Oreochromis niloticus: one gene and its partners. The protein of the gene in region 1 purifies or fractionates together with the protein of each later gene. This does not show direct contact. Links are inferred from orthologs where the notes say so. Each region holds a gene or a part of one and is shown on either strand. Other genes may lie near its edges.

Evidence for each region.
Region 2: the proteins of aifm1 (region 1) and ndufs5 purify together in Homo sapiens (affinity purification with mass spectrometry; 3 studies listed by BioGRID and IntAct, with this or other methods). This does not show direct contact. The link is inferred for Oreochromis niloticus from reciprocal best matches to the Homo sapiens genes AIFM1 and NDUFS5.
Region 3: the proteins of aifm1 (region 1) and otud1 purify together in Homo sapiens (affinity purification with mass spectrometry; 3 studies listed by BioGRID, with this or other methods). This does not show direct contact. The link is inferred for Oreochromis niloticus from reciprocal best matches to the Homo sapiens genes AIFM1 and OTUD1.

Annotation. Positions count from the first base shown.
Region 1 is NC_031975.2:7,203,035-7,211,820, forward strand, and holds the start of aifm1 (apoptosis-inducing factor 1, mitochondrial), read left to right. Parts: upstream 1-5,295; 5' UTR 5,296-5,582; coding exon 5,583-5,670; intron 5,671-6,502; coding exon 6,503-6,633; intron 6,634-8,786. UniProt on the Homo sapiens protein: Functions both as NADH oxidoreductase and as regulator of apoptosis.
Region 2 is NC_031985.2:10,022,615-10,030,944, reverse strand, and holds the start of ndufs5 (NADH dehydrogenase [ubiquinone] iron-sulfur protein 5), read left to right. Parts: upstream 1-5,083; 5' UTR 5,084-5,217; intron 5,218-6,584; 5' UTR 6,585-6,588; coding exon 6,589-6,804; intron 6,805-8,330. Other genes in the region: E3 ubiquitin-protein ligase RNF19B, read left to right, coding at 351-798. UniProt on the Homo sapiens protein: Accessory subunit of the mitochondrial membrane respiratory chain NADH dehydrogenase (Complex I), that is believed not to be involved in catalysis. Complex I functions in the transfer of electrons from NADH to the respiratory chain.
Region 3 is NC_031974.2:17,051,553-17,059,772, forward strand, and holds otud1 (OTU domain-containing protein 1), read left to right. Parts: upstream 1-4,679; 5' UTR 4,680-4,777; intron 4,778-5,455; 5' UTR 5,456-5,724; coding exon 5,725-7,086; 3' UTR 7,087-7,632; downstream 7,633-8,220. UniProt on the Homo sapiens protein: Deubiquitinating enzyme that specifically hydrolyzes 'Lys-63'-linked polyubiquitin to monoubiquitin.

The DNA of each region.
Region 1 (8,786 bases):
GAGGCTGTTCAGTCAATCCACAGTTCCTGTCAGAGAGGGAAAAAAAATATGTCCAGCCTCTTCTGTATGCTGCTGTAGGAAAAGTTAAATGGAGTCCATGTGTTAAAAATCACATTCGGTTATAACTAATGATGCTGGTTGGGGAACTGCAGTGAGGCAGCAGGTTAAAAGAAGGTTTAGGCTCCTGTATGTGAAGAGTAACTGCGTTTTGCTAGTTAGCGAAGCCAGCGGCTAGCTAACCTTGTAGCCGTGCTATCCGCTAATGTGTTATCCTTCTGTGGTATGGTGTAGCCCTCAGGCAGCAAACCAAATTTCTGGTTAGTGTCCCTTAAAAAATATTATTATTTATTTTTATTTAATGCCACAAGACACATTAATGTTGCGTAAAATGAAGAGGAGAAGAAGAGAGTTTGACAGTTGACCTGCAGGGTGCTTTCAGGTGCTGCAAATGCTAATGCTAATATCGTTTTTTTTTTACGTGTTAAAGTTGAAATAAATATATTTTCTAAATATATATACATATAGACCTGCAGGGAGCCACATGCTCACCGTCTGATGATGAAATTTACTCGGTCCCTAGCAGGTTCCTCGATGTGGAAAGCATAATCCTAGACAAAATAGCGCTTGCCTCAGGGCAATATTATGTAGTTAGACCACTCTCCTTAGGGTATTAATCCTAAATTATGGTCTTTGGGGCTGCTTGTTTCAGATTTTTAGGTGCTTCCCTGCTCCAAAACACTTAATTCAAATGATTATCTTCGAATAGCTAGCTGTGTTTGAACAGAGATTGTTAAGAGGAACCTCTGCTAATATTCTGAGAGCACTGAGTGGTGGAATGTATATATGTTGTCTAGTTTAGTAGTCTAGTTTTGTTTGGATGCAAATTTATTACACACATGCACCAAACGTGCTGTGTTTCTGCAGAAAATGTATCCTCAAAAACTCACTGTGAAAAAAATGAAGTTGACATCAAGTGCTGATGAGCACTTTTCTCGTTTCCAAACAAGAAAAGGAAAAAACTGAGATTCTGGGTTCATCCAGTTGTCAAAGAAGACAGCAGCAGAGAGAATTTCATGGTTTGATCCAGGAGTTGAAGCTGTATCACTGACATCCGGCATCAGTTTGAGGTCTTGCTGGCAGAGTGGGCAACACATCTGAGGAAGCAGAGAAATCATTGCATAGAGCCAAATGACCCAGAGCAGTGTCTAAGGTAAAAATAGTATTATTTTAATGCTGCAGATTTGTCTAGTGAAATTACTTGGTCGGGGTGAATGGCTGCATTAAGAATACATGAGAATATATAAGAATACATGAGTCCAAAACATATTTTTAACACATGAAATTTTTGCACAGATTTTACACTTGCAGTGCGTAAAGGCCTTTACAGTCAGAATTCAAAGCATTACAGCATATGAGCAAAGGTAGTCCACATGTCATACACGTGACTTTGTTTATGAGATCTCAACCTGCATAGCGCGTGAGAACACACATCCACTTTGTTTACTTTCACTGGCAGTCATCCAGGAATCCACAGAACTACAGTTACCTCAGTAACTTCAGTTTTCCTCTGTATCCACTATTCCAACAATTTTATGTTTTTCTCTTGTGTTTGGTTATTATGCTTCTATTTTTGTCCAAGACTGTTTGCAATCATCTCGGAGAGAGGAGTACCAGCATCTCAACAGAGACTAAAACCAGAAACCCCATCTGTTGCTCTGAACTTCTCTAGATAGCATGCACAAAGAGCAGCACAGACCATTAAAGTCTGCAGGCCAAAAGACCAACCAGTAACCTGGAGGAGAACAAGGTGACAAACTCAGCAAAGTCACAGCATCCTACAAAGAGGAGTTGGATAAGCTGAGGATTAAGAACAAACCTGAAAATCACTGAAAGAGGAGAAAAAGCAAAAATGCACAAAACAGAGAAGAAACTTGAAAACGTAAAGACTTGTTGGAAGTCCAGAGAGTGCTAAAGGAAGAGAAAAGGGCAACGCAAGAGGCAAAAAAAGAAATTCAAAATGCAAAGAAGGAATTGTTGGAAGTCCAGAAAGCACTGGAAGAGAAGACAAGGGGACTGGAAAATTAATTGTTAAAGGTCAGTAAAGCACTCAAAGATGAGACGATTGACATGATGGGGATAAAGACAGATGGTAGACACTGAACTGTCACAGAAGGATGGGGGAAGAAGAAGAAGAAGCAGGTGAAAAAGAAGACAAACGAGCAGGACAAGAAAGTCAAGAACAAGAGCTGCTTCCAAAAGAAAAAACATCTACTAGTTACACAAACTTACAGGATACTGATGGTTCAACTCAGGGAGAGCGATAGCTTCCTCTTCCTCTTCCTCTCCCCTTTTTCCACTTTCCCTTTATCTTCTCTACCTTCACCACTCCACCTTTAATCCACTTCCTGTTTCTCCCCCCTTTCATCCTCCCTTCTCCATCCTCCCTCTACCACCTTCTCTCCCCTGGCCCTCCACTTCACCTTCTCTTACTCTCTTACTACCTTCATTATCCCTCTATCTCTTCTTCTTTGTCCTTTCCTTACCTTTGAAATGAAGAGTAATAATATATAATAATCTTCATCATCATAAGTGAATAAAAATCAGTCAATAAATAATCCTGTGTGTGTCTGCCTCTACTCCTGCTGGTTATGATCTAAAAAGGAATAAAGCTTTGAAGTTTATCAGTGTTTTTACAAGAATAAATTTCCTCTGCGGCTGTGATTGTCACATGAGCCTGAGATGAAGTGTTTCCTCCTTGTGTTTTCACAGATTTATTTCGATCTGATATTCGCTCGCTGAGTGCCTCTCCTTTTAGATAACCTGGGCAAAGCTTGTTGGGATTTACACCTAGAATCATTATCTGGGTCTTGAAGAAGAGGATATCCGAACATGCAACAATAATATTCACACCTAGGACCAGAGTCTTAAGCAGGAGGAGTAAGAGAATGAGACACTCTGAGCACATGAAGCCAAAGGGAACTTTCAATTTACAGTACTATCAAATCTATTGATATCATATTGAAATATATCCTAAATTAAAATGACACAAATAAGGCTATCACAAAACAATAGGGTATATTTTACCAAGCTTCACAAACAGCTGTGAACTCCTCATAAAAGTGTCCATCATATTAAACTGATGCTGGAAAATGCATCTGGGACTTTTAAGAGTTTGGAATTTCTTTAGTTCTTTCCATTTTCAAAGTGTTCCTGAATTTAAACAGGTGAAATGACAGAAAAGGGGATCATGTCCTCCTCTAATGAAGTTTCAGAGCAGCTTCTGGGGTTAAGGAGGATCAGGGCTGAAGAGAATCCCACTCAATGTGCACTTCCATGGCATCACCAAACCACAACCTGTGTAAAACTGTGATGTTACTGCATAAAAATCAAGAAATACTGATCCTCAGTGGCCAAAATACATTAAAAAAAAACAAAACTGTAAAAAATACCTCTGCAACATATTGGTAAATACATGAATACAGCAGGATTGTGATGCAGCAGTATTCATGTCATAACTTTTTTAAAAGGTTTTATGCAATCAGTTTATTATCATACATCAATTCCCGTGGTTCACCTAGGGTTGTCATTTTGAATGCACATGTGCAGTAGTTGTATTAATCTTACTAAATATTATTATTAACATTGATGGTGCATGGCAGGAAAAAAGAGGATGCTACCTAAGAAGACAATCTAGCTAAACTGGTCATTTTGAGTGGGGAAAATTGCAATCTGAAATCAAAAAACATGCTACACATTAGGAAATTACACTTTACATTGCAAGCTATGTTATAAAGTACCACCATATCTTTTTTGACATTTGTGTATTTGTATTTGTGGTAGCAGGGTTATATTTAGAAGGCCTGTAATTTGTGTGAAATGTTCTGACTTTATTATGTTACATACACACACATACATACAAACAAAGCAACAGAGGCTCGTTTTTTACTAAATGATCTTTTATTATATTAGGGAAGTAGTAACTTCTCTTGCCAGTAAAAAGAGCAACCCACCATTGCTTATTTAGGCTTTCTTCTCAAAAAAAGGAAGTACATCAATCCTTATTATCCAACACAAAGGTATTTCCTTGCCTTATAATTTACCAGCCAGCTTTGAAATGTGCAAATGACAAAGTCTTTCAAAATCACCATTATGTAGCTGATGGCTGACTATAGCATTCCTATAAACAGAATAAATCCATTTTACTCACCTGGACCCACAACACCAATGCCCTGGAAAAGAAGCCCCAGCAGCAGCTGCACTTCCTCCGTGTCCTGAGGAAGAACAACCTGGACCAGAAGCTGCTGCTGGCCATCCACTGCTCCTCAGCATGCTCTCCTACTGCCCGGGTGTTTGGTACATAGGGACCACAACTGAGAACAGGAAGGCCAGAACTGTAATTAACACTGCCCAAAAATGGAGGCCATTGCCAGATCCTCCTGTCTCAGGAAAACCAGGGCTATCACACGTCAACCCTTGCACCCCACCCACCACCTGTTTGATCCGCTGCCCTCTGGTCAATCAGGTCCTACACCTCCAGACTCACAAACAGCTTCTTGCCCTGGGCCATTCGGACTGTAAACAAACACTATCTCCTCACACCCACCCTTGCCCCCGCCTACTCACCCACCAATCTGAGTAACAGTCTTCACTTAGGCCACTCATACACAGACAGTATTCAGACCAAATCTTTTTCTTTGCACTACTTCCAACTTGTTATCTAATCTGTACCTTACTCTTATTTTTGTACATATTTCTCCTGTTTGTTATTCATTCCTGCTGTCTTACTATTTATATTTTATTTTGGCACAGTTGGCGTGGAGCACCCACAATTTCGTTGAACAGTGACAATAAAGGGCTATTCTATTCTATTCTATTCTATTCTATTCTATTCTATTCAACCACCAGAGGGTGATAAAACTAATTTCTAGAAATCTAGCCTACCACTCGTAAATTATGACAGTAAAAATTCAATGAAGATTTATTTATATAACTTACAATAAACCTTCATACATTCATTACAGCACATTATATTAAAAAGATTTTTATTTCTTGAAATTCTTTAAGTCATTAACTGCGTTAATAATATATAAATGATATTCATTAATATGTTTAAATGTGTTTTGCATGAATACACAACCTCATTTTGTGTTTTCATAACTTAAAACCGTTTTTCAACATTTTACTGTAGTATTACTTTAAATGACCTGCAGGGGGCAGCAGTAAACTCTGACTGCAGTTGTTTTAAGAAAGGAACAAGAAGGGGGTTCGAGCAGTTACCAAAGAGCCTTGAATGAAAGAGTTCAGTGTAGCTGCTACTTGCGATAACAGAGTTGCGGTCATTCATGTCCGGAGCGACGCCATCTTTCTTCTTCTTCTTTTTTAGGGGCGACCAATCTTAGGCGTCTTTACAGTCTTTACAATTACCCGTCATTCCCCAGAAACGTATGACCTGTCCCTGGCCTTGGTGTGTGGTGCCGTGCAGCTAGTTGTCAGTGTCTGCAGGCTGTTGGAATTAAATTAAGGGTAAACCGGCTTGTGTTTTTATCCGACAAGTCTGCGAGTAAACCGGGAGCTGAGCCACAATGCTGAAATGTAGGACTGTGTGGAAAAAGCTCGCTCCTTTGGCTAGAACTTCATCAACTCTGTGCCGGCAGAATGTGAGAAAAGCAGGTAAGTATCTAGTTACAGTAACTTGTCTTCCTGTTAGCTGACCTCGATTTGATCATGCACTGCCTGGAGCATGATATTACACAGCAGTAATACATTAACCCACAGGGGGGTAGCCCTGTTAGCTTAGCGCACGTAAACTTCAGCGACCTTTGGATGGTTATTAGAAAGCTAACTCAGCTAATTAGCGAACGTTAACGACGCAAGATGCCATTTCAGTAACGAGCTAACTTAAACTGGATCTCATTTCATTGATCGAAGCGCCAACGTTAACTGATAACGCCAGCAAGCATGTTTTTCACGTGTCTAGTGCTGGTACAGGTGTTACACCATGTTCTGTGCCCGTTTACGCTTTGCAGCGTATGCAAGGGCCCAGTGTTGGATTTGAATCATGGGGTCTTGCAGTCTCTGATGACCCAGAAAGGATAAGCCCAGTGCTGTGCAGTATGTAGGTTGCTAGAATGTACATTGATGATCATTGTTCTTCATAATAATATGTCACGTTATGTTTATTACTCTTAGAGTGGAAAAACACCTGCAACACAAATCAGACAGGTTTGCCATTGCCTCTATTTTATGGAAAAGTAATTTAAGGCGCTTTCCTAAACCCCAGAGGTGTGATGAGGGCAAGCACAGGAGCATATATTTCCTCAGTCCTTTTCCACTGTCAACATCCACAGATCTATTAAGCGTGTATTAAACAGGTAGCTACTTGGCAATTTTTTTTTATTAGAAGCAGGACTGAACCCTGATTTAGTAACGTTTGTGAACATAATTAGGAGTGCTGTAGCTTTGATCGGTGTTTAATCATGTGTGTGTTTGTTTACTGTTTCAGGTTTGAACAATGGCAGAATACCAACACACGTACCCACAGCTCACATGTCCAGTGGGCTGCCAGGGGGAGGTGGGGATAATCTAAAGTATGCCCTCCTGGTTGGAGCAGCCTCCATTGGTGGCGTGGCATATGTGAGTAAGCTTAGTTTATCATCATAGAGAGAGTGTGCAAATTTATTAATTGGAGCAATGATTTTCCCCCCTTGGGGTTTATTTCTGTAAATTGAACATTAAGGGCTGAGCAATATGGACAAAAGAAAAACAAATCTATATTTTTATGCTGAATGCAAATACAAGATATTTACAAGGCCTGCATATCTCTGTATTTTATATGGTAAATGGACTGATTATTATATAGCGGTTTTCTACTCTGACAGAACACTCAAACCGCTTTATACTAGAGATGGACCGATCCGATATTACGTATCGGTATCGGTCCGAACAGGGAAAAGGGGGCACAAAGACATACTTTTCTTTCTTATTCTCATTTAAAATACGTAGCTTTTAATAAATAATTATCTGAATCTTACACCCAAAGTTTTAATCTGATGTAAAATGTATAGAAGTCCATTACTATATATAGTAACTGTTAAGTCTATATACCCTAGTAAGCTATAGTACTTTTTCCTTTGGGAAGGTACCATCTGTGAATTCTGCAATTCTGTTGAAGAAAGATGTTGAATCTATTTAATTATTCTTGAAAAATAATTTGTTTCTGTGCATTTTTTTTCACCCTGCATCAAATTAAAGTTGATTACATCAATTAAGCATCATGAGGTGGAGGGTGGGTGGTTCCCTATTTTTTTTTTTTTTTTTTTTTTTTTTTGCTGGGAGTTTGCAACCCTATTAGTTAGGTTGCTTAATATTTCTGCTAAGTACTCTTTAAAATACCAGAATAGGGAGGATGGAGTAGGTTTAAGTTAGGTAAGGTTTATTAGATTGATCAGTGTTGCTGAACTATGAAATATTTTGGGTGCAGTGTATTTTTTACATACAGGTATAACAGAATAGCTTTAGTGTTGTTGTTTATTTAAACTTGAGTATGAACTTATACAAAATGCAGCAAGATATTAAAAAAAACAGTTTTATTGATTGAAAAACACACAATATCGGATTCATATCGGTATCGGCAGATATCCAAATTTATGATATCGGTATCGGTATCGGACATAAAAAAGTGGTATCGTGCCATCTCTACTTTATACAACATGCCACATTCACCCATTAACATCCATTCACACCCATTCACACAAGCACATTATTTCATAGGCAGTGTTAAAAGCCGCTGGTTTATGTTCTGTTAGGTAGGGATGGTTCAGTTTCTTTGAAGTAAGCCTGTATGAGGTTCAGATCCACAGGAGTAAAAACTAAAATCCATGTACTGCTGTGGACACAGTCAGCAGCGACATGAATTTTAGCCACCTGAAAGTACAGCTTTCACTGAAAAAGAAATGAAGCTGTTACTCTCCACCAGATTCCATTAACAAAAATAGTAATTTTACTTCACACAAGACAGGAGTTATTTGACCACTGCTGCAATGGCTGCTTTGTTAGTTTGTGTTATTGTGAGACTTTGAATTTTTAGTCGATGAGTTTTGATCCCACATAACACATTACAACACTTAATTCACGCAGTGTGACCTCCAACTTTTGTTTTCTGTGAAATAAAAGTTGTTGTTTTTGTCAACAGAGTCTGGTGTTTTTGAAAAGAACATGTTTTTGTAGTGTGTCATCTTAACAAATCAGACCTTTTGATTGTTTTCACAGATGCATTAAGTTAATGTATACTTTAGGACTATAAGTTATTAGTTGTTGGCTTTACTTAAGCTTGTTTGAATAACGGAGCAGTTATATGGATAGATTTAAAAATAAATAAATAAATAAATCAGTATAACAACCGTGATGGGAGTGTAGTGATTAAGCCTGTCACCTCCAGCAGATTCTGACAGCCAGCTGGGCCCTTCCTGTGTGGAGTTTGCATTTTCTCGACCAGTGTGGGTTCTCTGTGGGTACTCTGGCTCCCTCCCACAGTCCAAAGACATGCATGTTGGGTTATTTAGTGATTTTAATTTGTCTGTAGGTGTCGATATGAGCACGCACGCGTGGGTGCAGTTGTCTGTCTCTGTGCCAGCTCTGCGATAGACTGGTGACCTGTTTGGCTTGTAACTCGCCTGATACCCTCTGTGAGATGGGATATACTCCACTGCCCCAGCATATCCCAGATTGTGCATGTAATTAAGAAAATGGTTGCATGGCTATATCACCCAGTCCTAGTTTAAAGGCCT
Region 2 (8,330 bases), on another chromosome or scaffold:
TACTTTATCATCTGTTTCTATCATATTTTAATTTAATTTTATCAGGTTAGACGTATTCATTAAGAAAATGTTTACCAAGGTCATAAATCAACTGATAGGCGCAGTTAATTACCACATTTTTAAGAAATTGATTAGATGCCCCCTGCTGGCTGTTTAAAAAACTTCAGGTTCACAGTACGTCCATAACGGGGCTTCATTTTTCAGCGGCTGCTTCCATCTTATTTACAATCTACAGGTGAACCCTACCAGTAGCTTTCCGTTTTGAGCTGAATCTGTGCAGTAGATGTTGTCTTATCTGATATTTCTTCTTTCACACCGACTGACGTGTTTTAAATCATGTGACTCTGCAGGGAGTGCACCAACCTGGAGATCCAGGTGGACATTGAGACCAAACCCAGCCATCTCTGCCTGACCAGCGAAGAGGACTTAACCCCGCATCCGGGCTGTGCTGCCATGGCGACCGCCTCAGGAGGGGAGGAGCCTCAGGACTGCAGCTCCAGAAGGGGCGGGGCGTTGTCTGGCTCAGCACTGGGGCTGTCACCAGGAACGTCAATCAGGGAGGGGCTCAGAGACGTCACCCTGGCTCAGCCGGAGAGCATCCGCAGCGACCTGGAGATGTCAGACACTCAGTCAGACGACATCGCAGAGCTGACGTCGGACGACTGCGACTCTCCTCACCCGAAAAGCTGTCACCCGGCGGCCGGCCAGCAGCCTCAGCCCCCCTCGTGCCGAGCTGTGAACCCCTCCACCGAAGGCCTTCACTGTCCTGCAGACAGCAACGTCATCCTCTACGTCTGAGAGAAAAGCAGCTCTCAGGATTGCACAGAAACAACCCCGAACATTTACATTTAAACTTGTCACAGCTTTTTTTTTTTCCTCGTGTCATCTCTCGTTTGCTGCTTTTGCGACTCACAGACACCGTCTTAAACACAGACAGCATCTGTTTACGTTGGTCTGTCTGTCTTCTCTTTCTACCTGCCAATCTACTCTCTGAGCAAATTGTCAGGGTTCTACCTCTGAGATTTATAAGATGATGATTTATGTTTACTCCTTGGTGCAAAATGCCTTGGCTACTTAAGCAAAAAAAAGAAAAAAGGAAAAAAAAAGAGAGAGCAAGAAAAAAAAACAAGAGGTACAAATTTTCCACGGGAACTGAAATTATGAAATACGGTGAAACGTCACCAAGCACAGCAGAGAGATGGTGATTGCTGGGAAAGCAGAGGAGGCTTGCCGAGGATGAGGAGGGTGTTTTTAAAAACGTGTGAATGAATGTGGACTTCGTACTCAGTTATTGTGGCTTTATTTTGACAGTTTTCCTCTATTTATATTCGGACGACCTTGAAATTGTATTATTTGCGGTGTGCATGAGTCTGCATGAGCCATTCCTTGTGTGGACGGTTGTAAAAGGGCGGCAAGTTTCTGTTACACTTGTGAAAGTTAAAGTTTACTTTGGAGGATGAAGCTGCACTTGAATCTCGCTTTCACTGCACAGAGGAGGAGAGGGAGGAGGAGGAGGAGGAGAATGGACATAGAGATTAAAAAAAATAAAAAATAAGGGTCACTGCTACAGAAGTAAACGACAGAGTTCTGACAATGCCATGACAGATCCTGGAAGTACTGTGAAAAGCACGGCGAGAAAAAAAAGACAGCCCAGTGTGAAGGTTTGTCTGCTTTCCACAAATCAGCACTAAACAAGCATTGAACATTTCATGAATAAAGCTCTGTGAAGCTTTTTTATAGGCAGGAATGTATCGTAAAAATGGAAAAACAAAAAAGTCCTGCTGGTTTCCTTTTTTTTTCAGTTACATTTATTTATAACCTACATTAATGCAGAAAGCGATACAGTTGCTTCCAGGCTGCCTATTCAATGATCAGTTGTCTCTATTACACATGCTAATGCGGCGAAGCAATTCCAGCTAACATTCTGCTAGCAGCTAGCTAACAGCAGAACGCCACGGCGTCAAAGCTGGCACAAAATAATATGAACTTTTTTGGGGGGTTTTTTACCTAAAAAGGATTAAATAACTTTATTAATCGGTAAGACTTCACCTTCACTTCACTTCAGACACTTGACCTGAAAAGGCGTTCTCCTGTCGCTGTCAGAACTCTGTCACCGTGTGGTTCTGAGGTATGTCACATGACCAAGTTAGTGTTTTACAATTGGCTGTCTGCCTGCCTTATCGACACTCGCTGACCAACACAACAGCACACACCCGTTTGGGAGGTTTTGGTTTCTGACGTGTTAACTGGCTGTCGGGCCCACTTGAATGTTGTGTGTTGTGCGTCTGTGTGAATGAACTCCCGATGAATGTATATGTGCGTCCCACTTTTATTTTATTTTATTTTTTTGAATGAGCACTTGTGCACTTTATCTGAATTATTGTATTTATCTTTTCTTTTTTTTTGCTATTCATCATCTGTTGCGATAAAGTGAGTTTACTTCAGTCTGTGGTACAACCAAAATAAATCACCTACCAGAGGGCCTTTTATGTTGGATGTAACTAAAGAAGAGTTTGGCTCCAAAAAAAAAACAAAAAAAATATATTCATTGTCATATTTGTCATTCAGTATTTTTAACTTCAATGACATTTAAGGTGTTTTTAATCAATTTTGTGATGAAAATACTGTAATTTTTTTGTTTCTTTTTTTTATATTCTGTAATTTATGTTGTTCTAATCATTCATACAAGTCATTGTGACTTTTGGAGCCAAACACTTTAAATACTGATGCCGATAAGCTTTTCTTAATCATAGCTTGACTTGTTTCTTAGCTTTGTATCACCTCTGTGCTTCTGTTTTCTAAACAAAAGAAGAAAAAAAAGAAAGAAAAACAAAAGGTTTCCCCATCAGGTTTTTCCTTGAACCTGTGAGGAATCAACCCGGGAGCCTTTTTCATCTCAGAGTAGCTTTATGGATTTAGCTGCTTATGTGATTTGGCAGTGCTTTGTTTGGTCTACACTTATCACTAGTTTTTGCCTGCCTGCCTCTGAGAAACCACATGAATGTACCACGGATGGAAACCCCAACTTCCTGAAAGAGTCTAAATGAGTGTTAAAGGATGGATATAGGTGGTCCTGATCTTATTTGAAAGGGTTAGCATTTATAGATAGCAATATTTACGTGTTATTATACTGTTTGTGTATTTCCTGTCACTGTTAAAAGCCCCGAAATTGTGTGGGGATGGACATGCAGGACTGTGAAAGACAACTTGTGGACCTTTGGGGACAAAATAAATAAACACAAACTGATGTTGCACCAATGCAGTGACTTGTTGTTGATCTGTTATGAATTAGAATCGATTAGAGCAAATGAACTTATTTTATAAATGTGTCAGACGTGAAATCACTAAAGAACTTTTGTGGCTTTTCTTAAGATTTACATATCAGACATAATAAAATATCATCTGATCCTCAGCAGGTCTTAAAATCATTAAATACAACTTCAAACAAGCAACACATGACATATTATATCCTGTCATTATTTATTTTATAAATTAAGCCAAAATGCAGAAACAGTGTGCAAATAAGCTCATGCTTGCTGCTACCATGTGACTAAGATAAGTACCCAGGTGCTGCTATTCAAATGCACTTGACTCTCTAACTTTGTCTCTGATATACTTGTTTCTAATCCTGTCCATTCTGATCAAGCCAACTATAATTTCACCATCTTCAGCTCTGGCACCTTGAGCTCCCCATCCTGCCTTTATATTGTCCAAATCGTAAATCGGGGATGTCAAATATAAGGCCCGGGGGCCAAACTCGGCCTGACGAAGACTCCAATCTGACCCACTGGACGGCTTTGAAAATTGTAAAGGAGGGCAGATTTCAGCCTTTATTTTAAGTTTTACAGCTTTTCTTGTTGATAAGGAGACGTAACCCACGCCCATTCCTACTACACTAAAGTAATTAAGCAACAGATCATTATCGGCTATAAAAAGTTCTGTTTTCCCACAATGAGTCCAAAGTTTCAAAAACGAGGAAATCTTCTGTGTATTTCCAGAAACTATAATTATAATTAAAGTGCAATCTGGGCAATGAGCTCCCATAACTATTTCTGTCATTTTATGCATTTATTTCTTACAATTTAAGCCTAAAGAGCTGTGCTGACACATTTATTTCATTTACCATATTTCTTTATTATGTAGAAAAACTAAGAAATACTGTTATACAGTTGTGTGGGGTTTTTTTCTCATATTAAGATAGCTCAGCTAATTCTCTAGTTAAACTTGCTTTTACTGACAGAAAGTTCAGTTTCACTGGTACGACCCACTTGGGCTGTAAGTTTGACGTCCCTGCTGTACATCACAGCAGGTCTCCCTCCCTTGAACCTTTGCTTTCACTCTTGCAGCTGTCTTTCTGTACAAATCACCCCTGAGACTCATCTCCATCGACTCCACCCTACACTTTCTTCTTCATCTCTCTTGTGCATTATTGGTTGCTTTGGATGATTGACCCCAGGTATTTAAACTCATCTACCTTCATCTACTCATTCTCCTTGCATCTCCTGTTATATCTGTCTTCCTCTCATTCATAGACACGTATGCTGTCTTGCTTCTAATGGCTTTCACTGTTCTTCTTCTCTCCAGAGCAAACCTCCACCTCTCCAGGCTCTCTTCCACCTGCTCCCTATTCTCAGTCCACGGTGCCTCCTGCCTGATCTTATCTGTCAGCCTGTCCCTCACCACTGCAAACCAAAATCTCACCCCCACCTTGAACTCATCTATAACTCTTACCACTCACCTGACCACTGTCTCACTGTCCTCATTCACATCCTGCACCAGCCTCACATATTTCTCTGCCACTCCTTACTTCCTTATGCAGCTTCATTCTCTCTTGTAACCCTATCATATGCTTTATCTAGAGCCACAGAGAAACAGTGTAACTTCTCATAATCTTCTCTATACTTCTCTCAAAAGCAACATTGCATTAGGATTATTATCTTTATTATACTTTATCATGTGCTAATATTATACTTTATCAAATTCATCGAATTTATTCTGAAAAATCGCTAAACTTGCTGATTCAACACAGCTTTGTTAAATTGCTAACTAAAATGTAACTGTACTTTTGAGGCCACACCAGCAGATGGCAGTGGTGCAAAAGAAGGGCAGATGTGTTTCCACCCCAGTCGATCACTTTACGGCAGTGTTTTTGTTCAGCAGCCGTAAAGCGGGGCGTGCAGAGTCGGAGGAAGGTTAAAACGCCTCGAAGAAAACACGGTAAATACAAACATTTAACGAGAATTAGCGACACGTAAGCAGGCTGTGGACGTGTTTGCTACATCGCAGATTTTATATGAAGTTTGAAAATTGCGTTAGTGCGCAAATATTGTGAAATAAACGCGGCCTGTGATTAGCATGGCTGGCTGTCATTGAAGGATAATTTCAACAGCAGTTTATATTCACAAAATGTGACGGATTCACTTCAACAGCCAGAACTACTTCATACATTTGTTATCGTTAATTACAGATACGAAGATTTTAATTTATTTTATTTTTTAATATTTTTAAAATATGAAGTTATAATCGTTCGTTTGTCGTTCACTAACAGTCCAGATTTTTTCCATGGCTCTGTGGAGATGTAAGGATGATTAGTCTGCTTGTAGTGTAGGCAGTGAGTCTGAGCTGCTTTACTCAGCAAAAGTCTGTTTATTTTCCTGTAGTTTATTAAACCAGATTTTTTTAAAAAGTTTGAGCCACACTACATTTATAATTTTAAGGTGGGCAGGGTGGAGTGACTGGAGATGAATGTCGGGGGTGATTTGTGATAGAAAGAGTGAAGAGGACCGTTTGCAAGATGTAGTGAGACCTGCTGTGTGTGACTTGAAGATGGTGACAGGTGGTCGAGTTGAAGATGTTAAGTTTAGAAATGAGTACATCAGAGGGACAGATCAGTTTGATCAGTCTGGACAGAGAAGCAAGGCTGAGATGGTTTGGGCATGTGCAGAGAAGAGACACTGGATTTATTGGTCAAAGAATGTTGAAAATGGCGCTCCCAGGCAGGAAGAGAAGACATGTAGAGGAGGTTGCTAGAGGTAGGGTGAGAGAGAGAGATAATCCACTGTTTAAAACTTGACGAAACACTAAAAGTTAAGTAGACAGCTTTTTATTTTGATGTTGTTGATATAGAAATAAAAATTCTCAAATTACTTGAATTACTGTCCTCCTTTAAATGGGGCTGTACTTCATGGTAGTGCTCTTATAGTGGCAGATGTTTAAAGACTACAGTGGCCAGAAGAAGTTTTTTTTGATTGTTCTTCTGCTTTTTATTATTTCTTGTGTAGAGAAAAAAAAATACATTTCAGAATGTCTTGAACTACATTTAAAAACTCATGAGTGCTCAGTTTTTATTAAAATCCTTACTTCTGCCTTTATAGATATAAAATACTGTAGATCCAAGTACCTGTATACTTATACTGATATAAGCTAATTAGTGATTACAGTTACTGATATGTATAGAGTTCTGTTAGACCAGCTTACAAATTCCAGTTTTAATTTGTTAAGTTTCATTTTATATTAAAAACTTAAAATTTGCCCTGTCCTGCCTCACTTTAATCACTTTCGGTCCTGTGCCTTTCCTCGTTCAGCATCATGCCGTTCGTGGACCTGCAGTCGCGGCTCGGTATCAACTTGGACCGCTGGCTGCTGCTGCAGAGCGGAGAGCAGCCCAACAAGCGGGCGGCACGCTGCCACGCCTTCGAGAAGGAGTGGATCGAATGTTCTCATGGCATCGGGCAGACCCGTGCCAAGAAGGAGTGCCAGCTGGAGTTTGAGGACTTCTACGAGTGCATGCACAGGCAGAAGACGGTAATCTGACTCCTCATACTCGACTGCTTCTGTACAAATTGCACTGGTTTAAATAATGGCTGCTGTATTATCAGAAATAACAGTTAGATACTAAATTAATCTAATTTTAGAGGATAGTTGTAATGAGCTAGAACTGTAAGTTATGTCTAGTTCCATTAAGAGGATGAATCTTCTCTCAAACTGTTAAAAATTAACACATCACCCGATCTCACCTCCTCCACACCACACTTAGCATGACAGCCCATGTGTTGTTGGAACAGAGCTCTTTCACTGCAGTTTATCTGTATATTGGGGGGAAAAAAATCAATGTGCTGTTAGTCAATTATGCTTGCTGTTTTTCAAAATTAGAAATACTAATTTATTTATTTTAACAGCCTCTGTGTGTGCTGCTAACCTGTTTATAGCACACATTTATTCACAGAGCCACCATGAAAACAAGTTCAGACACAAACAAGTGTTTTCATATTTATCGGTTGTAAAACAATTAAATGTGAATGTGTAAGGCAGCATTCAGTATCTTTTGAAAATGATTCGAGTCAGGTTGATACAGCTCCTTATTTAAGAACAGTTCCCATTGATTTCTTCCTCTATGAATATTGCAGCTTTCAGCCATTTAAATAAAACATGAAGTTGCTGATCAACTCCTTGCTATCAAAGTTGCATCAATAAGAACATAATTTCTTCACACTTCCAGCTTTAATTTAAGGGGTTTAACAAAACTATGGCATTAAATGGCTCTCACAGCTCTCACTTTGGATGTTCACGTCAAATCTTTGGTTCAGTCCTGCTTTTATCACTTAAGAAACATTTCCAAACTAAGCCCCATTGTTGCTCGCACTGAACTGGAGATTGTCATTCATGCTTTCATGTCATCAAGACTGGACTGCTGTAATTCACTGTTTACATGTTTAAACAAAATTTCTCTGGAGCGTCTGCAGATTGTTCAAAACGCTGCAGCAAGACTTCTGACCAAAACATCGAAGTACTCACATGTGACACCGTTGCTAATACAGCTGCATTGGCTCCCCGTCGAATTCAGAGTCCACTTAAAGATTCTGGTACTGACTTATAGAGGTCTCTTAAGTCATGTGACCAGGGTCTACTTATCATTCATCATACAAAGCTGAGAACTAAGGGAGACAGAGCTTTTGCCACGGTGGCTCCCAGACTGTGGAACTCTCTCCCACTGAGCATAAGATCTCTGGACTCAGTAGCTTCTTTCAAAAAACAACTAAAAACACATCTTTTTAGAATTGCATTTTGTTAACTGTTGTCTGTTTTGTTTTATACTTTGTTATCCTTGTGTGAAGCACTTTGTGATCTTTCATCTATAGAAAGGTGCCATATAAATAAAGTTTTACTTACTTAATTCAACAAACCAGCCTATTTTGTCTCAGTATTTGACATGTTGGCATCTCTGTTAACCTTTGTAGCATTAAATGACTTGATTCTCATGCAGAGTTTGAATAATAAGAAAACTATTTAAAAAAGTGAAAGAAAAACTAGTGTCCATGTCAAATCTGCAA
Region 3 (8,220 bases), on another chromosome or scaffold:
TATTTTTTGTTTTTTTAAATGGGAGGCTTAGGATCTAATCAAAGTCAATCATGATCAAAGGAAGTGCTCTGAATTGCTTTCAATGTCAAGAGTATAGCCCAGGCAAACTGACGTGCTTTTGAACTGCTTTTAAATTTGTCCCATTTTCCATCTGGCATGTTATATATTACATTTTTAGTCCCATTTAGTATCTAACCAATACAAAACCTTAATATGCGTCCCTCCTCTTTAAGATAAAGACACAATGAGGTTTGTTAAAGACTGGCTCCTGTGATTTTAGGTCAATATTTACACCTGGACACCAGCACCTAGGCTACTGTACAGGAAGCCAAGCGGTCATAGCGAATAAAACAGGCCAGGATATTTATTGTACAACCGTGAGCTCCCGGGCAAACTAGTGGGAAAGAAGTAAGAAAGTTCCCAAGTCAAGAGTGGCCAACAGGATGAGGTAATTACGTAGGTTGGAGAGGCGAAGGGGGAGGGGAGACCTGTTGCAAATAAGCGTCTCCAGACTAAACAAAAGAATCCAGGGCTGCCTGCTCCTTTGTAGCGTTTCAAAAGTTTCTGCTCGCAAACAGCGACTTTGGCGCAAACTTTCCACCAGCCGAAATACGTCGCTTCCACAGAAAGGCCAGAAAAAAGACATTTTAACCCGAGAAATACGACAGTTTTTCTAAGTTTGAACAACTTGTAAGAGGGTTCTTTTGTGTGTGTGTGCGCGAGCGAGCGAGCTGCACCACGAGGTCCATGAATGTAACAAGGCGAGAGCAAGTTCCCACAATGAGGTCAGGATGAACATTAGCCTACATTTGGATTTTGGTCATATTTTCAAGGCGCTGGGGGCTGTTTCCGTTCGCTGTTCGTGACTAAAAAGATACAAAATATCGAGTTGGGGTTTTTTTTTTTTAAAGCTTACAGGCTGCCAAAATGTAACAACCCCTGAAGTCACAACAGTCGCACAACTTTTGACTAGTATCGACTATCACCACTTATCAAGAAACAAAAAAACTTCTTCACAAAAGTAGCTTAAATGAGGTTTCCACCCAAACAGAAAAAAAGCGAAAGCGTCTTTTAAATCATTCTGAAAGTTGTCCCAGTTTATACCGCGACTAGGACAACAACACACATGGCGACACAATCGTGCGTTAGCCTATTGTGTGAAAACTTGAATAAAGCACATTTAGATAACCTAAAACGGTGGCTAAACCTTGCTATTGTCGACTTTTGACATCGCGCCAACACATGGCAGAAAAAGCCCCCCTGTCACGTCTGGAAAGGAAACAATAGACTGCATGGTTTGCATATGAGGGAAACGGTTCTGTTACTCATTCTTTAACGCCGTCTCCGTCTAAAGTCGTTTCTTTTTTCTTCCCTTCTACTTTAATGTTATAAAAAAAATCCCACCTACCCTTTTTGGTCTTCATCTTGAAAAATGCCCGCTTATTCCTCGGCAAGCGGAGAAGACAAATTCTCTGTCAGAGCTGTGTTTTTCCCCCTAGATATCCCCAGCGTGTATCCGAAATCTCGAAAATCCTTGTTCATTAAAAAAACAATGCTTCTTTTCTCCCGTTTTAGATGTTCTTCTCTCTTCTAGTCGTCCTTCTTTGGAGACTTGAGGTGGCAGGAGAGGGGGGGTTGTGGGTTACCTGAGATCTCTGCGTCCCTTTCTGCTCAAAGCCCCTTTTCTCATTGACTGTGTGTTTGATCCTGAAACTGGGTGACAGCTATCTTTGACAGCTGCGTGACTAAACGCAAAGATCCTCCCACCACCAGTGGAGAACAGGAAAAATCTCTGACATCAGCATGGCTTGTTCCACTGACATGAATACAGTCTTGCTGAGCTTTAACGGCTGCAGACCCTACTAATAAAGTGAATATATACATACATATACATATATATACATATATATATATTATACATACATATGTGTGTGTGTATGCAGAAAGCGTTGTTTAGGCGGGCAAGCAAAACGACAACAATAGCAGACTGGGGGAAAGCACTGCGGACCTCGTGGTAACACCTACAGATTAAAAATAACTAAACTAACCGCAGTAATTTAAAACATATATATAGCACATTATTGCTACAGGCTATGCCGCATATTTCCGAATGAGCGTCGGTGTGTTTTTGTGGTGCAAGCTTCATCGCCTTATCACAGTCTGTGGTTTATCACCTTTCATATCGCTTGTTTACATCGTGAAGAATTACCTTGACGTACTTCCAACAGTAATTCTTCTGCATGCGAGTGCTTTTTAACAATGTGGCTTCGTATAGGCTGCTGCAGTGTGTTACAATAGGGGGCTCGTGTTGTGTTTATGGTAATAGCAGCAAATCTCGTGTTTATACTACTGTGCATCCCCCTCCTCCTCCTCCTCCAGTGTTGTCACTGTAGTAGCCCATTCTTCTGTATCCCTATAGATACGCGTGAAACGTGTTTCTTATGCGATATCGATGTCACCCCGATTGAATTGTAAACATTATATAAGGAAAAGCTGCCGTAATTTCTCACAGGAATGAGGAAATGCTTAAAAATACAGTGTGGACATGGGTGTAGCTGCGGGATATATTGATCTAACCTTGCAGCAGCTGGAGGTTAGTGCACCAGCTCGGCTTACTAAAGACAACAGCAGCACTGCGAAGAAAACGATCAATGCCTTCATTTGTATGCGGTGCACAACCATGCGACAGCTGCTGTAGCATCGTTTCTTTGCATGCATTTGTTCCAGACATGCGTTCAAGTGCTCTTTGCGGAAGCTAAATGTCGCCTCCGCGTGCGCACAAGCGGAACTGTACGTGAATGCAACGCGGCGTGCAGACACGAGGTCCTCGGGGTCCCTCTGGTGGTGATTTAATTGCACTGCAATTCAGGCGAAAATAAGGAAGGAAAGAAATTGCTTTAAATGTGGAAATGTTATATAGTCAAAAAAAAAAAAAAAGAATTTCCACTGATTTTACAATAAATACAATGTACTTATATTTACCTACAAATAATTAGCGCTAGATACTCTAGAATAAGGGTGTGATGATTAAAAGCTTTTACAAAAGAGAAGAAATAATTGTAATATAAACAATTTTAAGTAGTGTGTAATTTCTGGGTGTTTTAGTGGAAAAACCAACAAAATTTCCACAGCTTACATCGTAAATACTCTGTACTTTTAGGCACGCAGGCCGTATTGTGTACTGGCTTTACTTTGACTTGTTACATTTCTATTATGCATTACATTGGTGTGCATATTCGACAAGTCCTCTTGTATTACATGTGACAATGTGATGAAGACTATTTCTCCCGTTCCTAAATAAAATTAAACACTAGCAAACACTGCAGGACGTCTGCCCATGTGATCTTATTATGATGAAGCAAAATCAAACCTTATTTTTTTTCTTGGAAATAATGTTCAACATACAACCAGAACTGTGAGAAAACAAAACAAGAAAAATGTATTAATGTGAAAGAAGAAAGACTCCCAAAGAATAATTTGGGTATTATTTATATTAAACACAAGAGAAATGACAATAAACTTTTCTTATTAGCTATGAACACTTTTATTTATGCTTTTCAGTTTTATTTCTCTTTGGCTCTTTTTCGTATTTTCTCTTTTCTGCTTTTTGGCCCTTTTATGATGAAGATGAATATGAGGAGAAACAGGACAGGTCATTGGCCCTTCTCTGATGCATCTTAAAATACCTGGAAATTATGTACTACATAAAATTACTTAGAGTATAATTTGTGTCTCCTTTCGTGTCAAATACACTAGCCAAAATGAATGTTTAATGTGTAATGATAGTATAATGATTGATGTAAATACTTGAATTATTACCTCCTTACTCTGTTGTATTTGTAGGTTAATGGAATTACATTGTAATTTCAGGTCAAATATATGGAAAGTCAAGGGGAATTTCACCCTTAGTCACAGGCTGTATTATAAAGTGTTATTATGTTTCAATATACTATTACAGCATATCAAAACAAAACAAAACAAAAATAAACAGTCAACTTTACTGATTATTAATGTTAATGTTTTGTTTTGTTTTTGTTGCTATAAATGAACACCCACTCACTGAAGTAATATCTTTATTAAGCTCTCACATTCTTATCAAACACAAGCAGCGTGAGTGTGTTTTCCAGCTCAGTCACTGTTAAAAATAGAGACGAGTAAGTTTGGCAGGCCAAAGCCACTACTGTCACATATTAGGTATGCTTCCCATCAGTTGTGACATTAAAATAGATCAAATGATTTCAAAACAATATTTATTGATTGGCTGATTTTTGTAATTAATAATAGCAGTAATATTAATAGTCATTTAGTCTGATAGACTAGCTGTACTTATGACTAATTTTGAACATTGAGCATTTCATGCTTTCTGTATAATCAACACATTTTGAGTCATTTCTTTTTTTAATATTTACACTTACTATGACGGGAATTCAGTGGTGATGTAAGACGACAAATAAAGCTCAGTGTTTGTTTTATACTTTCCAGACCGAGATAACACTTCACTTGTTTAATGAATGTTTTTATGTTTATTTTGAAGGATTAATAACAAGAGCCACATAACTCTGTTTAGAGGGAAAACAAATGTAAAACGCTGTGTTTAAAGAATAGACACGATAATTAGCTGAGCGGTAGCTCCGCTGCTTTACTGTTGTGTCACTCGACTCATTTGACTGTGACGCATCAAATCCTTCACATTTGTCCACGAGCGTCGCGGCTTCAGTCAGGACGACCGTGGAGAGCTGTGTGAAGTTACAGACAGCCACAGCTGTACAGGAAACTGGTGGGTTTTTCTTTCAAAATAAGATTGTTGTGGTTCAAATATGGTTCACAAAATGATGAGGCTCATTTTGTAATCTGGTAAATTGTTCCCATATCCGGGATTTATGGCGGACTGTGTTTTTCTTTTGTTTCAGTTCATTCGCAATAAATCAATAAATAAAAATCACAGGCCTAGTTACACTAAAACTTTGCGAACATCTGCTTTAATTAACGCTTTGATATTCTAAAGCGAGTAATTGGATGTGCTGTTTTTATTTAGATTACCATGTTATTTGACGTGATCATTTTATTTCAAGTCATCGTGTTAGTAAAGAGGAAGAACGTGTATTTGATGATTAGGTGGCTATTTGAATGAAAGCAACACCACAATTGAATTTTTTGAAAGTAGATTAAAACCCAGTAAACATGTGGTATTCCAAGTGAACTAGTTATGAGACTTCTTAAAACAGAAAAATAAAAAAGTTCACTATTTTGTAAGGATTTTTTTGCACTTTAAAGTTAAAGCATCTTTTCCTGTTTATCAGCATGAAACATTTTTTAAAAGTTTGTTTTTTTAAAGAAACTTTTGCTCATTGCTGTAAAACAGTAAAACATGATCTCGCATAACGAAGGCGCACGTGTGCGTAAACCATGAATTTTATTTTGAAATAATTCAACTGAAAAGTGTTTTTTGGTTTAGCTTCGTCGGACTTGATATTGTCGAAGAGGACTGGGTCCTGTTACAGTTTGGAGTCTAAAATTAGGGAGGCACCCCAACTGCAAATGACGCAAGAGGGCTAAACTGGACAGTCTAGTCGTCTCTGTGTGTCAATGACAGCGGGACTCAGGGCATGGAGACCTTCCCTACAACTTTGCTGTTGTTGATGACATGGAGAGTATTTTTAGCTATTGTTGTCATCTTTCCGTAACAGCCCAGCCGCGCCGTTCAGTATAAAGGACTCTTTCAAAATGCAGTTGTACAACAGTGTGCTGACACACTACCCGAGGTCGTCTCGCAAAGTTACAATAACTTTGTCGACCGCTTCTGCGCGTTTGAACGGGGCAAGTTCCTCTGAGGCTGACAGGCCGGGATTTACTCAACCAGACGCAACTTCGGCGACCAACAGTGATCCGGTGAGCGAGTCTGTGTCTTCCGCAAACATGCCTGCCTTGTCGTGTTACGAAGCTTCAACCATGAGGCCAATTTACTTCACCTCGACTGCTGAAATTTTAATCCGGAGACCTGATGGAGTGGAGAGGTCTGTGCCTGTGCATGTTATGAGGGAGTCCAAAGTCAAACCACCTTCCCCAGACTCTCATAACGGTGAAACTTTACTCTGTAATGACTGCGACTCTGATGTGATAGTGGACTTGATGGATCATTTGAGCAATGGGACAGATGAGCTTTTCCCAGACTGCCCAGAATTCACTGGAAATCAGCTTACCAACAGCAACAACACCAGTGGACCCAGAATAGAAGAATACAAGAGGATGGTGGAAACTTCAGGTGGGGATGATGGAATTTCACTGACTATTACCCCCTTCAGAAGCAAAGAGTGGGCCTCACTGAAAGACGAGGAGCTCGTTCCCCCCAAGGCAGTACAGCCTAAGGGTCTCATAAAAGAAGACTTTAGTTTAATGAACACGGCCAAAGCTGCTCCAGCATCAGAAGAGAGACGGGCGTTTGAGCTCAGTGTTCTGCAGGAGTCCCCTCCACAGAGAGTCCAGGAGAGAGGGGAGATCAACGACAAAGTCGCCCGATACCTGGCTGAAGTGGAAAAGCAAAATAAGTACCTCCAGGAGAGGCACAAATACAGGTATCAAATCATTCCAGATGGCAACTGTCTGTACAGGGCTGTGTCTAAAGCCACATACGGGGACCAGTCGAGACATGCAGAGCTGAGGGAGCAGACGGTGCACCACATCGCTGACCACCTTGATGAATTCAACCCTATCATTGAAGAGGATGTGGGGGAATTCCTGATCAATGCAGCGCAGGACGGCGCTTGGGCCGGTTACCCCGAGCTTCTCGCCATGAGCCAGATGCTGAATGTCAACATCCACCTCACAACAGGGGGCAGCTTGGAGAGTCCCACTGTCTCCACCATGGTGCACTTTCTTGGAGAGGAGGATCCTTCCAAACCGGCTATCTGGCTGAGTTGGCTGAGCAACGGTCACTATGACGTTCTCTTGGACAGGTGTCTGCCCAACCCAGAGTATGAGGACTGGTGCCGAAACTCGCAGATGCAAAAGAAACGGGACGAGGAACTGGCAAAGTCGATGGCAGCCTCATTATCCAAAATGTACATTGAGCAGAATGGGTCTGTGTAAATGAAATACAGCGCATTACAGAGGAATAGAGATGAATGGTTCTGCTTTGTTTCTACGTGCTTTAAATTATTATTTTTTAAGGATTTTTTAAGGAGCAAAAAGACGTGCAGTGCACATACTTTGGTTCATGTCTATGCCAGCGTTTTGAAATTAGCACTAGTTGTCTCCGAAAGAGTTTGACAGTGTGTGAGTCTGTTCTTGATAGTTTGGGTGATGCTGACACGAGTGAAATTCTCTAATGCCGTTCAGATGTGGCTGAGTGCTTTTGGAGTGTACTATTTTTATTTGCCCTCTCTCAGCTGACCAGTTATTATTATTTTTTTGTCGTGCTTCTCATGCTTTGGCAACTGCCCAATATTTTCAGACAAAGAGAAATCTGGTTTGCATTTTCCATGTGTTTAGCTACTCATTTGCACAAAATTCCTCTAAGAGTAGTTCACAGTTGGTTTGTGTCTGCGAGAATGATTCAACGGTTCATTTTCCATTATTCCAGTACTTTTTAGACATTTGACAAAGAATTTCAAAATAAAGTTAAGAAAAAACTAACTTGCAGTGGCTTCATTTTTAATTTACATGCTTGTTGTCCCGCTATTTGTTTATCGCCTACATTTTCATAAATGTGTTATTCAGCTTTAGCGATATCCACTGTTTCATCTTAGGTGTAAGGCCGTCCATAACCACCACATCACCACCACAGTTCATGCTGCAGTCATCCTCCACTCACCGGTGTCCTAAAGTGAAAAGTGATGTTGGGAATTTATTACATGTAGTGACCCTGCAGCCTCTCATTCAGGTCAGGCTGCAGAACTCGGTGTATTAAGGGACCACGGCTTCAATACACAGAGTACAAGGGAATGTGCTCTGTGTACTGAGCTACGTTAAAGCTTAAGTAAAGGGTGCACAGTCACGGTATAGGCCAAAATGTCATTTCTGCTGTAATTGTTTTGTTTTTTTTCAAACTGTAGATTCTGCTTGATTTCCTCCAAACTATATAAAAGGAAAGCAAACCACCCAAATACAGCTTGCAAATACTAAAAGCTAATCACAACATATGGATGTATTCATATTGTAATAATACTTTCCTTTTTGGCATTTCACATTAATGTCTGCTGTTCTGAATACACTCACCAGTCA